3 linked regions of the Bombyx mori genome follow. The protein of the gene in region 2 purifies or fractionates together with the protein of the main gene of each other region. This does not show direct contact. Links are inferred from orthologs where the notes say so. Each region holds a gene or a part of one and is shown on either strand. Other genes may lie near its edges.

Region 1 (4,348 bases), on a different chromosome or scaffold from region 2:
TCCACTGGCATTCTCTAAATACCTCTCTCCGCACCATAACGGGTCCGGTATCTGCAGGGTCAATCCATGGATTGTTGATATTTTCTAATTAATTATTATTTACAATCAATTACTTGAGCAAAAATCTTGTACAGCGGCTCCAATATGAACTCCACGAAGCTTCTCTGAGCAGAGGCATGAGGTTGTTTCTTCGTGAAGCGTCTAGTCTTCGCGTTGAAGTAGACATCGCCCCACAGCCAGCCCGCCATGTCGGATGCCCGCAGTCCGCACGCAGGGTACGAGGCAGCGTACATCGCCGCAAACGATTCCAGAGAGAAACACACGTCGTACAATGTTGACGCGAAGCAGACATTACCTGGACAACAGTATACTCATTCAACTTAGCAATCGCCTTAAAAATGGATTAAAGTATTCATTTCTCTTATTTGTGTAGATGGCTACATAATTACCATTTGAATTCACATTTGGTCCAAAGAGTACTTTATGGTAGGCAGCGGCTTGGCTCTGCCCCTGGCTAAGCTGACGTCCATGAGCGACGGTGACCACTTACCATCAGGTGGGCCGTATGCTCGTCTGCCTACAAAGGCAATAAAAAAATAAAAAAAATAAAAATGAAAAAAAAAAACAACTTTTGGCAATGTTCTGTACCTTATCTAAGACACAATGTTTATTTGAAATTGATCCATTCCAATTGACATGAAACTTAGTACAGTACAATTGTTGTTACTTATACTCCAGGTATGGTTGGTGACAAACCTGGCTATAGGAGATACTAATAACTTACCCAGAAGTGGTGAAAATACAATTGGAGGCTCATCAGGATTATCCTGAGGTTGATTGGTCTCCAGCATAGAATTCAGCTCATCAATAATATGCCTGAGCTTATAATAGGCATCTGCAGGAGGTAATTTTAGCTCAAGCATTAGCCTGTCTATTTTGTTGATGCAAAGAGTTAAATGAATTCTTTCTTGTACTGCATGACGTAACATTCGCTCCGTGTTGAGCATTATACCTTCAGCAGCGTCCACAAAGAGTACCGCTCCTATAAAAGACAAAATTAACCTGTATTTGTTTATACTGAAACCTCTTTTTAAAAAATATTTTAAAATGAATTTTCATAGGCAGCATTTGTGAAGCGTGTACATTTTTGATAATAACCTCAACAATTAAAAATGCTCAGATGTCGACTTATGGTTATAATGTCAAATAAAGAAACACACATGACTTTGATTGTTGGTTAAATTGCTTTTATGAGTATTGAGAATTGATAAGTATTTCACAAATAAGCTTTCCTCTTCAGTAAAAAAATTACCATCCGATATCCGCAAAGCAGCAGTCACCTCATCACTGAAGTTCACGTGACCTGGAGTATCCATGATATTCAATAAATGTGACTTTCCCTTTATATCCTTCAATAGCAATGTTACCGGCATGGACTTTATCGACACTCCTCGCTCTTGCTCCACAAACAGAGTATCTGTATACCTTATAGGTATTGTTGTCTCATTGTTAATTGTTCCAGGATGTGTCTGTCTCATGAGACAGTCTACAAAAGATGTTTTTCCTGAAATAAAACAGTTTTAAGAAGATCAAATAACACTCACTAATTTTCGATAGGAAATATGAAATTTCTTTTTCTGATCTGCACATTTTTTTATTTTTGTTACTAAATCCTATTTTAGATTAATATTGATCACTTAAATCTTAGTCTTTTCTTCAGTTTTCTTGCATTTAATCATCATCATCATCATCATCATCATCATTTCAGCCTATCGCCGTCCACTGCAGAAAATAGGCCTCTATATATAATAATAATAATATAATTCCAATAGTTTCATTTTATTTTATTCAATACACTTTAAAGATTTTACGGTTATCTGTGTGTACATAGTATAAAGTAGTTTTTATGAAACTCAACATTATAAGTTGAATGGTAATTATAGAAAATGTAATAATAATAATCAAATTAATTTATTATTAACAAATAAAAGCTCTACAAAAAGCTCATGGATGACTTGTCTCTTATTTATTTCATTGAAATCACATCACATACCATTGTGCAAGTGGCCCATTAACGTAATATTTCTGATTAAGTTAGTATTATCTAACATGTCAGCCATGTACTCCATGTCGTAGGTGGTCTCTGGTAGCTGCTGTTCTTGAACCTGGAACTTCTTGTGTTTCACAGGCTCTACCAGGGGTTTGTCGAGAGCCTGTGTATCTTCTTCTTGGACGACTGTCTCTACGTCGGGTCCATACACTTCTACAGCTTGAGGATAGTAACTGAAGTTTGATGGTTAATAATGTTATTATTAATCAATAACTAATTTTAACAAATACCAAAACAGAGCATAGCTTTTCTCAGTACTTTTTTCTTTGTTAAAAATATTAGGTATTCGAGGTCTGAGTGTGCTTGTTCTATGGTCTAGCATGTGCGTCGCTAGTACCGGTAAAGTGGGTTAACATCTTGTAAGGCCGCTTTATTTGTTAGTTTTAAATGAAAAAGTTTTACCGTTTGTCCTCATGAAGAACGACGGACATAGGCGCAACTTCGGGCTCCGCGTCTGCGTCCTCGTCCTCCTCCATTGCTTCCTCATCACCTTCACGATTATCCTGACCATATACACTCTGTTCGTCTTCAGAATCAGACTCCAAGTCTGGCCCGATGTAGTTTCCAAATTCGTCATATAAATCTCCGTCCATTTTTAATATTGATAACTATATTTTGAAAATATTTCCGAAAAATAATTATCCAAAACAACTGCCGATGCTCTAAAGATTGTTTTGAACAAGTTTTGACTTTGACAGCAAGATAACCTTAAAATCTGGTTTCATTTCTAAACGAAAATAAACGAATTGGACTGTATGAAAAAAACATAGGTAAAGAGCAGCACTAATAATTTAGCAATGTTTTAATACTATCAAAAAATATCATTTAAATGTCTTATGGTTAGTTTTTAAACTAATATTTCGTAATAATATTTGTGTATTTTCACAGAGATTATTTTAATGCAAGCTTACATTGTTGCTCTAGTGGTTTGTTTTTTTAGATAATATAGTTAAAACGATTAAAAAGATTTGATGTGAACCTACTTTAATATAAAGCTATTAATTCTGATTTTGATTTCAATTAATATATTTTTAGAAAATAAAATAAGAGTTTCCTAGGCACAGGCATGTTCATTAGTCGTTTACCTAATTACTAAACGAAACCATATTTTCTAAGGTTGCCCGCCTGATCAGTTGTCACTTTTTGTCAATCCTTTTCAATACAAAAATGGCTGCTGTGCAACAAAATTTTTCGAAAATGATTTCGGGACAGCTTCGTAATAAAGCAAATGAGTTTCTTAACTCCAGAAAACATGCGAACAATCTTGCTGATATATTGCAGATGTTTGAGGTGAGCATGAAATCCCTTGTTCATTTAGTACAACGAAAAATGTAATGCGTCATAGGTTACATTTGTAATTCGTGATTTTAACATTTATATTACAGGTCGAAACAGACAATTATACGCCGCTAATGCTTACAATAGAAGTAATATTCACCGAACTATTAAAACGGGGCGATTTAGTCCAGGAAATAGTTCCATTAAAGCCTGCAGGTATGATTTTGTTTTGCCGCACGAAAATGTGTTTTTGAATTGAATATATCGATTTTAGCATGGTGCGAACCTGACTGTACGTAGATATACGTTGTGTTTACGTAGTATGTAAGCTGTGTTACGTTGCGAAAAATGTTGCTGTCTAAATTTGTCAATTTAGCTGCATACTAATTGACATTTGCTTTTAAAAAACATTTGAATAAATATATGAAATACTGCAATTATTGCAGTTGAACCGTAATTACGAAGCTAACACGTTGGGATTTTAAGTACTAACGATTCAGTTTTTAATTGAAAAAAAAAGTAGTCATATAAATATATTTTTTACTAAATAAAGTTTGCAATTTGCTATTGTGTGGGCTGTCACTAGTTTCAAGGTCGTTTCTGTAGATATGTTTGTCTATTTAATTATCTTCAGGTTTAGTTATCTTATTTTATAACTTATTTTGTCAAAATTAAACTCAATGTGAAGCTATCATTAGCATATTTTGAATCAAAATCTCAATTGTGTTAGTTGCTTGATAGAAATTAAAATGAATTAAGAAAACTACTCCACACTTTAATGGAGAACTAGACTTTTTAGAAATATATTTTGAAATCAATGTTTTTCCCTGATTATTATTAAAATCCATAAAATATCTAACTGTAGCATAAAATTATTATTGATTACTTATGACTTTCGTACTATTTCTAAATCACAAACCTACAGAAGCAGAACATAGATAACAAATTATTTTATTTTAA
Region 2 (3,712 bases):
AGAGCTGTGAGCGTACACTTGATGACACTGATTTTGCTTATTGTGGTGTTCTTCAATAGTGAATATTTTTTCATTGGTAAAGAGGATATTTCTGTGTATTTTATTTTTTATTTTTACTGGTGATAGAACCTCTTGTCAGTTTGCACCGATACGTACCACCACCCTGCCTGTTTCTCTCGTGAAGCAGTAATGCGTTTCGGTTTGAAGGGTGGGGCAGCCATTGTAACTATACTGAGATCTTAGAACTCATATCTCAAGGCTGCACTTACGTTGTAATGTCTATAGGCTCCGATAACCGCTTAACACCAGGTAAGCGGAGAGCTCGTCCACCCATCTATGTAATAAATAAAAAAGTAATGAAGACGAAAAATGTGAAATGGCGCGAAATCGAAAGAATTTTTTTAAATTTTGTTCTAAATTCAAAATAATTAAAAAGTTGAAAAAAGAAAAGTTTTTATGTAAAAGTATTTATGGCCAGACTAATTATAAAAATTATATCTAAGCCCCCTATCAAAAACAGACATTATTTTTACTTTACCATTTACAGGAAATAATTGCTGGAATATTGGACTTAGATCATAGAGCATGGAAAAACCCACAACGAGAATATGGTGATGTGCAAAGGAAGAAGGTCTTAGAATTTATAAATGGCTGGAAACCATTTGATCCTGTAAAAAAATAGTGTTTTACTAATAAATAATTAGAACTTATTTTGTTTTATTTTTCATTTTTCATCATTTCTTCAATAAGTTTTTGTCGTTCTGCAGCTTGTCTCATTTTTCTGAAAACTAGAGACTCATAATCTCTATCTGATACCAAAGATGGTTCTCCATTGACTGTTTTATTGGTAGTAAGCACTGGTCTATCATTAACCCATTTTAAAGTTAAAGGGTTGTCAGGTAGGCCTGAAATGACACTCAAATTATAAATTTTTATCACAAAAAATATTTCATGAACTTTTTAATGTCTCTTATAGTATCGAGACCAGCTAACATGGGCAGCTTAACTGTAGGTAAAAAGTAATACTATTTAGATTACCTTTTTCTAACTGAACAGCCATTTCTGCTGCTTCCTTAGTAGCAAATTCTATTAAGGCACTACCTCGACTCTTGGATGATATTACTAAAGCAACAATGTCACCATATTTCTTCAAGAACTTTCTTAATGTAGCTTCATCATAAGTACTATTATTCTGATCAGTTTTATCAACTTTCCACTTAATCTTAATTCTATTCAAACTTGGATCCCAAACAGGTTCTTTCATTCGTTCTACACTTTTTTGTATTTCATTTTTCATTCTTTGTTGCTCTTCCAATAATAGACGACTTCCCTCTCTTTGTAGCCTTTCAATCTCTTTTGCAAGTCTCTGAGAATCTGTAAGGTTTGTATGTGTGCCAGATGCTGCTTCTCTTTCTCGTTTTTCTAAATCTTCTTTGAGTTTTTGTCTTTTACTGTCTAATTCTTGATGCCTTAACTTTGCGGAAGCTTTAGCACGTAGCACTTTATCATAAGCTGCTCTAGCAGAAGTATCAGTTAATATTTCTAATGCTTGGGATAATTCGTGAAATGTTTCTGCCGCTTTAGGGTCATCTGGGTTTTTGTCTGGGTGGCATTGTAAAGCCTTTTTTCTGTATGCTTTTTTGATCTTGAAATATTATAAAAATCAATTTTAACCTGTTTAGTTATCACCATGATTTTGGTCACAAAACCATGTTTATGGATAAGCCACCATGGACCTAAGTACTAGTGAACACAAATGTGAAAGAAATACAAGCTAGTTGAGTTTGTTTGCTCATTCTTCTCAGAGCTGTGGCATTTTTTAACACATAGTTCAAGACATAGGGCATTCATGTTGAGATAAATAATTTGAATTTGACTACCTTACCACCAGTTAATCACAAATGTCTCGAGGTACATATTCACGATGTGCTGCCTATAGGCACCGGTAGCCGCTTAATATCGTTCCTCGCTACATCAAGGCGAAATCTAAACAAATCGACTAAGGTCCTCGACCTTGACCACCGTTGCCTTTCGACTCATTAAGCCTAAAGTACATGACGAAGGCTGGTAGTAGACGTAGAATGTAATAAGTATTTTCGTTCGCTTTGTTTACCTCCGATTCGGTTGCAGTTATTTGTAAATCAAGCACAGCATATAGGTCAATTTCTTCAATATTTATTTTCGTCATTTTATTTAAATTTTCAAAGTCAATATTATTTTTTGTTTGAGTTTTATAGTCGGATTTTTTATTAGACGAAGTCAACTGACGTTTACTGTGTTGTCAGTTTTTGAGTATGTACCGGTAAAATGGGGCGATTAGGGATTGAAAGGCGAATCGGGAAAAAACCGGGAAAATCTTTCGACGCTCAATATAAGTTTTATATTCGTTGCAAAATCTTCCATTTTTTTGTAGTTTAATAGTAGAATGTTGAAAGTTCACAAAACAACTCTGCATATGCATGATAATAGCTGCTAACTTATAAAAAATCGCGTTTCAAATTAAATTTCTTGTGGTGGTAATTATTTTAGTGCTAGAAACTTTACTCTCTTTTATTTATTTGATAATAATAGAAGACGACGATGATTTATAAACGTTATTTAGGGTTTGAACCAGCATATATATTAAAGGTAAGTCTCAGTTGTTATTGGTTTTAATGTATTTGATTAAATAAAAATACATGTAAAAATCTGTTGTTTTTGGGGATATTGGGGACGTCTTAGGTACAAATAACAACGAAAAAGGGGTCAATTGGGATGAGCATACGTGAAATGGAAACGACCTAAGTATAAATAGGTACAGGTTTGTAGGGTTGTCTATGTAGTTATAACAATATTTTTTAAATTTGTTGGTAAAAATCTGGTTTATCGAAGCGAAATTGGGAATAAGTCTTTAGTTGAAATAGATAAGCAATTTAATATAAGTAAGTCGATTTTGCAGAGACATGTAACAAGATCAATGAAATCTCAAGGTGGACAAAAATGTCTTACATAATAAAATATTTAATATTTGTTCAGAGTGGGGGTATTCATCTGATTAATCCATGGAATAACCGACACACCTAATCTCTTAACCCAGATAGAAATATCAGCCCCTAAGTACTTACCAAGAACGGAGAAATATAAACCGTTTCTAAGAAAGCCCACTATATATGTGTAAATATATATATATATATTTTTTTTTTTTTGTTGTTACTGCACTGTCGATTGCACCTATAATTGAGGTGATGTCTGCCATGTACTTTTGTCAGTTTTTCTATTTTTTTTATTGATGATCACTTTGTTGGTGCAACTAAATAAATAAATAAATTAAAACTATATATAAAAATACAAGTAGTGCCAACCCTAGCAAATTTCTCATTTCGTCCCAATTAACCGCAATTTTCGGGTAAATAGGGATTACACCTATTTTTGCATTTTTTGCTTAAACTGGAATGCTAGTTGCATAATTTTAAATTAGACAACAAAGATGCCCCCAAGACTCAATCATTTTGATCCTGATATAGCATTATATACATCAACAACTACCTTAAAATTGCTCATAAAGTTGGAATTTGTCCCTAATCGCCCCATTTTACGGTACCTATTCTATGTATTATCTGTGACTGTTTTTTATGGGATTTTATGACCTGGTAACTAAGACCTTTAAGTCATGTCTTATTTTAATTTATATTCTTATTTTCATGAAAAATGATAATATGGAGTGAAATGAAAA
Region 3 (4,442 bases), on a different chromosome or scaffold from region 2:
CGTCCACCCATCTAAGCAATAAAAAAAAAAAAATAATTGTAAAAACTTATAATTTTGATTTCTCTTCAATATTTTAATTTTCAACAGTTATTTAAAGTTTTTGATATTTGGTCTATCAATGATCACAGTAGATCTACTTTTGATAGATGGAATTAAAAAATAACATACTTGATCAGTAACTTGTGGCTCTGGCAGCACAAGTTTGCTGCGTTTTCTTGCCGGAGCATCACCTTGTAGCATGGCTTGTGGCACATCATTTTCCTTGCGTTGTTTTAACTTTTGCTTATCCTTGCGACGTTCTCTCTAAAAATATTAGAATAAAATTTTGTAATAAAATAAAATCTTTATAATTTTTAACCACAGAATAGATAGGTAGAAAAAATATACATGAATATAAAAAAAATGTAGATAGAAGCAGCATCTCATATTCCCTACTTCCTTACTTCCCTAACTTAACAACTTTAAGTATAAATTAAGTACATGTAACCAACCTCCTCTTTCTCAGAATGTAATTCACCGTCAAGGTGTTGTTGTCGGAGTCTTGAGAAATCAGGAGCCATGGGATCAACTACTTCAGTCGAAGTGTCATAGAAACCAGACGCTGGTCTCTTTTCAAATGGTATCTCAGCATTATAATCAACGCCACGTTTTTTTTTACGCCTGGGGAACAATGAAGCATTATATTAATAATAATATTATTATAAATAATAATAATAATAACAGCAAGTAGGCTATCAGCTTGTTCATCCGCCTATGCAAAGACAATCTTAAAAAATATAAAAATGTTACTCAATTTTACACGACCAATTGAATGTAAAATATTTACTTTTTTTTGTCTATTTCATATACATATAACTTATTGTGTTTTTAAACCTTAATGGTACAGCTATCCCAGCAGCACTGAGTTCCCTTCGCTTCTGTAGTGCAGCAAGACGACGGGCCTCTTCTAATTGCTTTTCACGAGCCTTCCTTTTAGCTTTCTTACCCTGAGTGTTAGCTAAACGTGCACGAGCTTCTGAGAGCATCTCCAATTCTAGTTATCAAGAATAAAATTATAATCAAAAATCATGAAACAATACAATTCTAAGCTTTGGCTGTGAAGTACATGTACAGCACTCGTTCTTTACCCTCAAAGTCTATAGTGTACATTTTCTAAATGGCCTCTCTAGCTGGTGTAAAAGTATCACTCTTAAAGCCAAAATTATATCGTGATCAACAATAATTTTTTATCTAGTCTTCATTTTTATAAATTTGAAGGAAAAAGATCATTGTGACACAAAAATGAAACACAGCACGTGTAAACTTCTGATGTTGTTCACACATACATTCTTAAAGATATACAGCTAAAATGAGTATATCACTTATGGGACGATGTAAAAACTTGTTGCTGTTGTTGAAATCAGCATGAAGTGCATCATCAACATACTTGGAATTCATAACTATCACTAACTTGTCTTCATTTTTAAGAGCTAATGGTTCTTTTTACATTCTGTGTTTTCAATTATGCAAAAATATACTAAACTATACAGTGAACTCTAACCTAAATTCACATTATTAACTGAATTCATAACTAAAAGACTAAATGATTTTTCAAATATGATTTGCTTACCATCTTCATCCATATCTTTTGGATCAGGTCTAGCAGGTTTTGTTTCTGGATTAGGATCAATCTCACCAGGCTTCAGCTTACGTGGATCATCACCCATGTCCTCACCTTCCTCTTTCTTTTGGGCTTGGTCTCTAGATGAGAATTAAAGGAGTTTACAGAATTTTATAATATTCATAGATAAGCATCTGTGGTCTGACAGATTGTGTTGTGAACCTGTGTTTTTGTTCCATTTCTGTTCCATTTGCCGAAGATCCAGCATTTTTAAACTGGAAAATATGCTTGAAAGAAGAATGCTTTAAACTTGAAAAGCGAGATAGCCGTTGCATAAAACAATTGATTTCCACATTATTTCTAAAGCTGTATGGCAGTCACATTCACATTATGATGTCTATGAACCCCATCTGTCTATTTAGAATATTAAAATAATTGTATTTAATCATCACACAAACTACAAGATGGTCAATTCAGATCTCTAGTTCTACACTATCTATCTTGCTTACTGTTGCCTGATTTGTTTAGTGTGATTAATTATTGATGCTAACACCAAAGCAACTTTTTCAGATACCTATGTGAGTGATTGAAACCAAACCTAACTACTTTACTCTGTTTTATTAGATACAAGGAACTCAAACTTAACAAGATAATTAATTACTTACAACAAATATTCGTATCTTTCCAAACATTGTGCAGCAGTACGTCCGATGATAGGAGCAATGGTCCTCCACTGAGTTGGCATCAATTTGGCCAAGTGCAACAACTTCTCGTCCTCTTCTCGGGACCATTCTGTTTTCTTTATACTTGGATCTAACCACTCGTACCAACGGGCTTTACATTGTTTTGCAGATTTACGATGGAGCAACGAAGCTATACGAGACCACTGATTTTTCCCATATTTCATTACAGCCGCTTTAAGGATTTCATCCTAAAGTGACACACAAATAACATTAGTATTAAGGAATCATAAGAAAGTATTAATAAAGAATACAAAATAGTAAAATAACAAACCTCGGTGTTGCGCCAAACGCCACCTTTTATCATAATCCGGGGCATGTTGGATAGTGTTTATTCAGCTTATAAATAAATGAAATCAATTAAATTTGAATAACTACTACTTAAATATGCAATAATTTTCATTAAAACGTCTCCATTTAGCGAAAATTTAATAAATTGAGATGTAAGGATAAATCAATGAAATCTAAATTCTATAATCCATCGACATTTTTTTTTGTACAAATTTTCCTTATTAGGAAAGGCAAGGGGATCTAAGCCCATATAGCCTTTAATCCATAGACAATACATACACAAGATATAGGTAAAATAAAAATTTCAATATATATATTTTTTATTTTATGACCTAACGTAACATAGACCTTTAGGTCATATCTTATTTGTTAAACTATACAGGGTGTGTGAGAACTCAACGTCAAGCCGAAACGGGGTGACAGGATTGATTGTAACCATCATGAGAAAAATCAGAAAAAAAATCTATCCCATCCAGTTTGGAAATTATGGCCATTAAAAACCTAGAAATTTGGTCAAACTTTAACCATTTTTCGGTTATTGTGGTTAATTTTTGTTATTTTTGTTCATTTAAACTTTGGAACCGTAACCCTACATAACATTTCTAGAACCGCACTCAAAAATAATGACACAACTGCCCCAAGTTTTCTCATATGAAGTCGTCGTCGCCTAAAGGATAAGACGTCCAGTGCATTCGTGTTGAGCGATGCACCGGTGTTCAAATCTCAGGCGGGTACCAATTTTTCTAAAGAAATACGTACTCAACAAATGTTCACGATTGACTTCCACGGTGAAGGAATAACATCGTGTAATAAAAATAAAAGCCGCATAATTATAATTTGCGTAATTACTGGTGTTAGGACCTCTTGTGAATCCGCACGGGTAGGTACCTCCGCCCTGTCTATTTCTGCCCTGAAGCAGTAATGCGTTTCAGTTTGAAGGGCTGGGCAGCCGTTGTAACTATACTCGAGACCTTAGAACTTGTATCTCAAGGTGGGTGGCGCATTTACGTTGTGGATGTCTATGGGCTCCAGTAACCACTTAACACCAGGTGGGCTGTGAGCTCGTCCAACCATCTAAGCCAAAAAAAAAAAGAAAAAAAAAGCCATCATGAGAAAAATCAGAAGAAAAAAATGTGTGTGTGCATGTCACACACATTACGTGTGACACGGTAGAAGTGAAACTTATAAAAATTAAAATAATCGCAAGAATCAACCAACCCGCAGTGCAATGGAGCAGCCTCACCCTGTGGAAACCGCCTGCATAATCACGGTATCCCTACGCCAGGTAAGTATGATTTAGCTTTTTTTTTCCTACCTAAGCTGATAGCCTTGCGAGGCTATTTCAGCAGAACCTTAACTAGTAGGTGAACTCACGGGGCTCAAATCTGACGACGTTGCTAACACGAACTCTAGCAAGAGCCGTGCTTCGCAGAATCTACCACCGGATCGGAAACGCAACCCACTGAGAAGATCCGGCGAGAAACTCAGTGGGCTGTGTCTGAGGGTTAATTTACTCGACGAGCCCTTCCTCGCAAGCGACGGGTTCGACGGGAACGGTGATCGGTGCTTGAGGTACCTAAAAGCACCGTTAGTGGATCGGGAGGATCCGAAATGACGTGTTTGGGGTGATGTCGACTGCTTTCCATTCTTTTGATTTAGCAAGAGAAATACGAGAACATCTATCAACTGTGTGACATCTTATGACCGTGATTCAGGAATTGTTGAATTTACGTGTAGGGACATTTGCTGATAACAAACGCATGGTTACAATCAATCCTGTCACCCCGATTCGGCTAGATGTTGAGTTCTGG

Evidence for each region.
Region 1: the proteins of DnaJ-15 (region 2) and 116 kDa U5 small nuclear ribonucleoprotein component purify together in Homo sapiens (affinity purification with mass spectrometry; 4 studies listed by BioGRID and IntAct, with this or other methods). This does not show direct contact. The link is inferred for Bombyx mori from reciprocal best matches to the Homo sapiens genes DNAJC17 and EFTUD2.
Region 3: the proteins of DnaJ-15 (region 2) and cell division cycle 5-like protein purify together in Homo sapiens (affinity purification with mass spectrometry; 3 studies listed by BioGRID and IntAct, with this or other methods). This does not show direct contact. The link is inferred for Bombyx mori from reciprocal best matches to the Homo sapiens genes DNAJC17 and CDC5L.

What each region holds. Positions count from the first base shown.
Region 1 is NC_085121.1:1,483,767-1,488,114, forward strand, and holds the start of 116 kDa U5 small nuclear ribonucleoprotein component, read right to left. Parts: upstream 2,837-4,348; 5' UTR 2,704-2,836; coding exon 2,513-2,703; intron 2,284-2,512; coding exon 2,054-2,283; intron 1,565-2,053; coding exon 1,313-1,564; intron 1,043-1,312; coding exon 785-1,042; intron 356-784; coding exon 114-355; intron 1-113. Other genes in the region: nucleolar complex protein 4 homolog B, read left to right, coding at 3,278-3,400, 3,496-3,604. UniProt on the Homo sapiens protein: Required for pre-mRNA splicing as component of the spliceosome, including pre-catalytic, catalytic and post-catalytic spliceosomal complexes. Component of the U5 snRNP and the U4/U6-U5 tri-snRNP complex, a building block of the spliceosome.
Region 2 is NC_085124.1:8,540,683-8,544,394, reverse strand, and holds DnaJ-15 (uncharacterized protein LOC101739460), read right to left. Parts: upstream 2,249-3,712; 5' UTR 2,189-2,248; coding exon 2,114-2,188; intron 1,646-2,113; coding exon 1,039-1,645; intron 906-1,038; coding exon 718-905; 3' UTR 683-717; downstream 1-682. Other genes in the region: CWF19-like protein 2 homolog, read left to right, coding at 548-682. UniProt on the Homo sapiens protein: May negatively affect PAX8-induced thyroglobulin/TG transcription.
Region 3 is NC_085115.1:11,711,758-11,716,199, reverse strand, and holds the start of cell division cycle 5-like protein, read right to left. Parts: upstream 2,918-4,442; 5' UTR 2,660-2,917; coding exon 2,615-2,659; intron 2,532-2,614; coding exon 2,266-2,531; intron 1,741-2,265; coding exon 1,610-1,740; intron 1,034-1,609; coding exon 874-1,033; intron 661-873; coding exon 492-660; intron 304-491; coding exon 169-303; intron 1-168.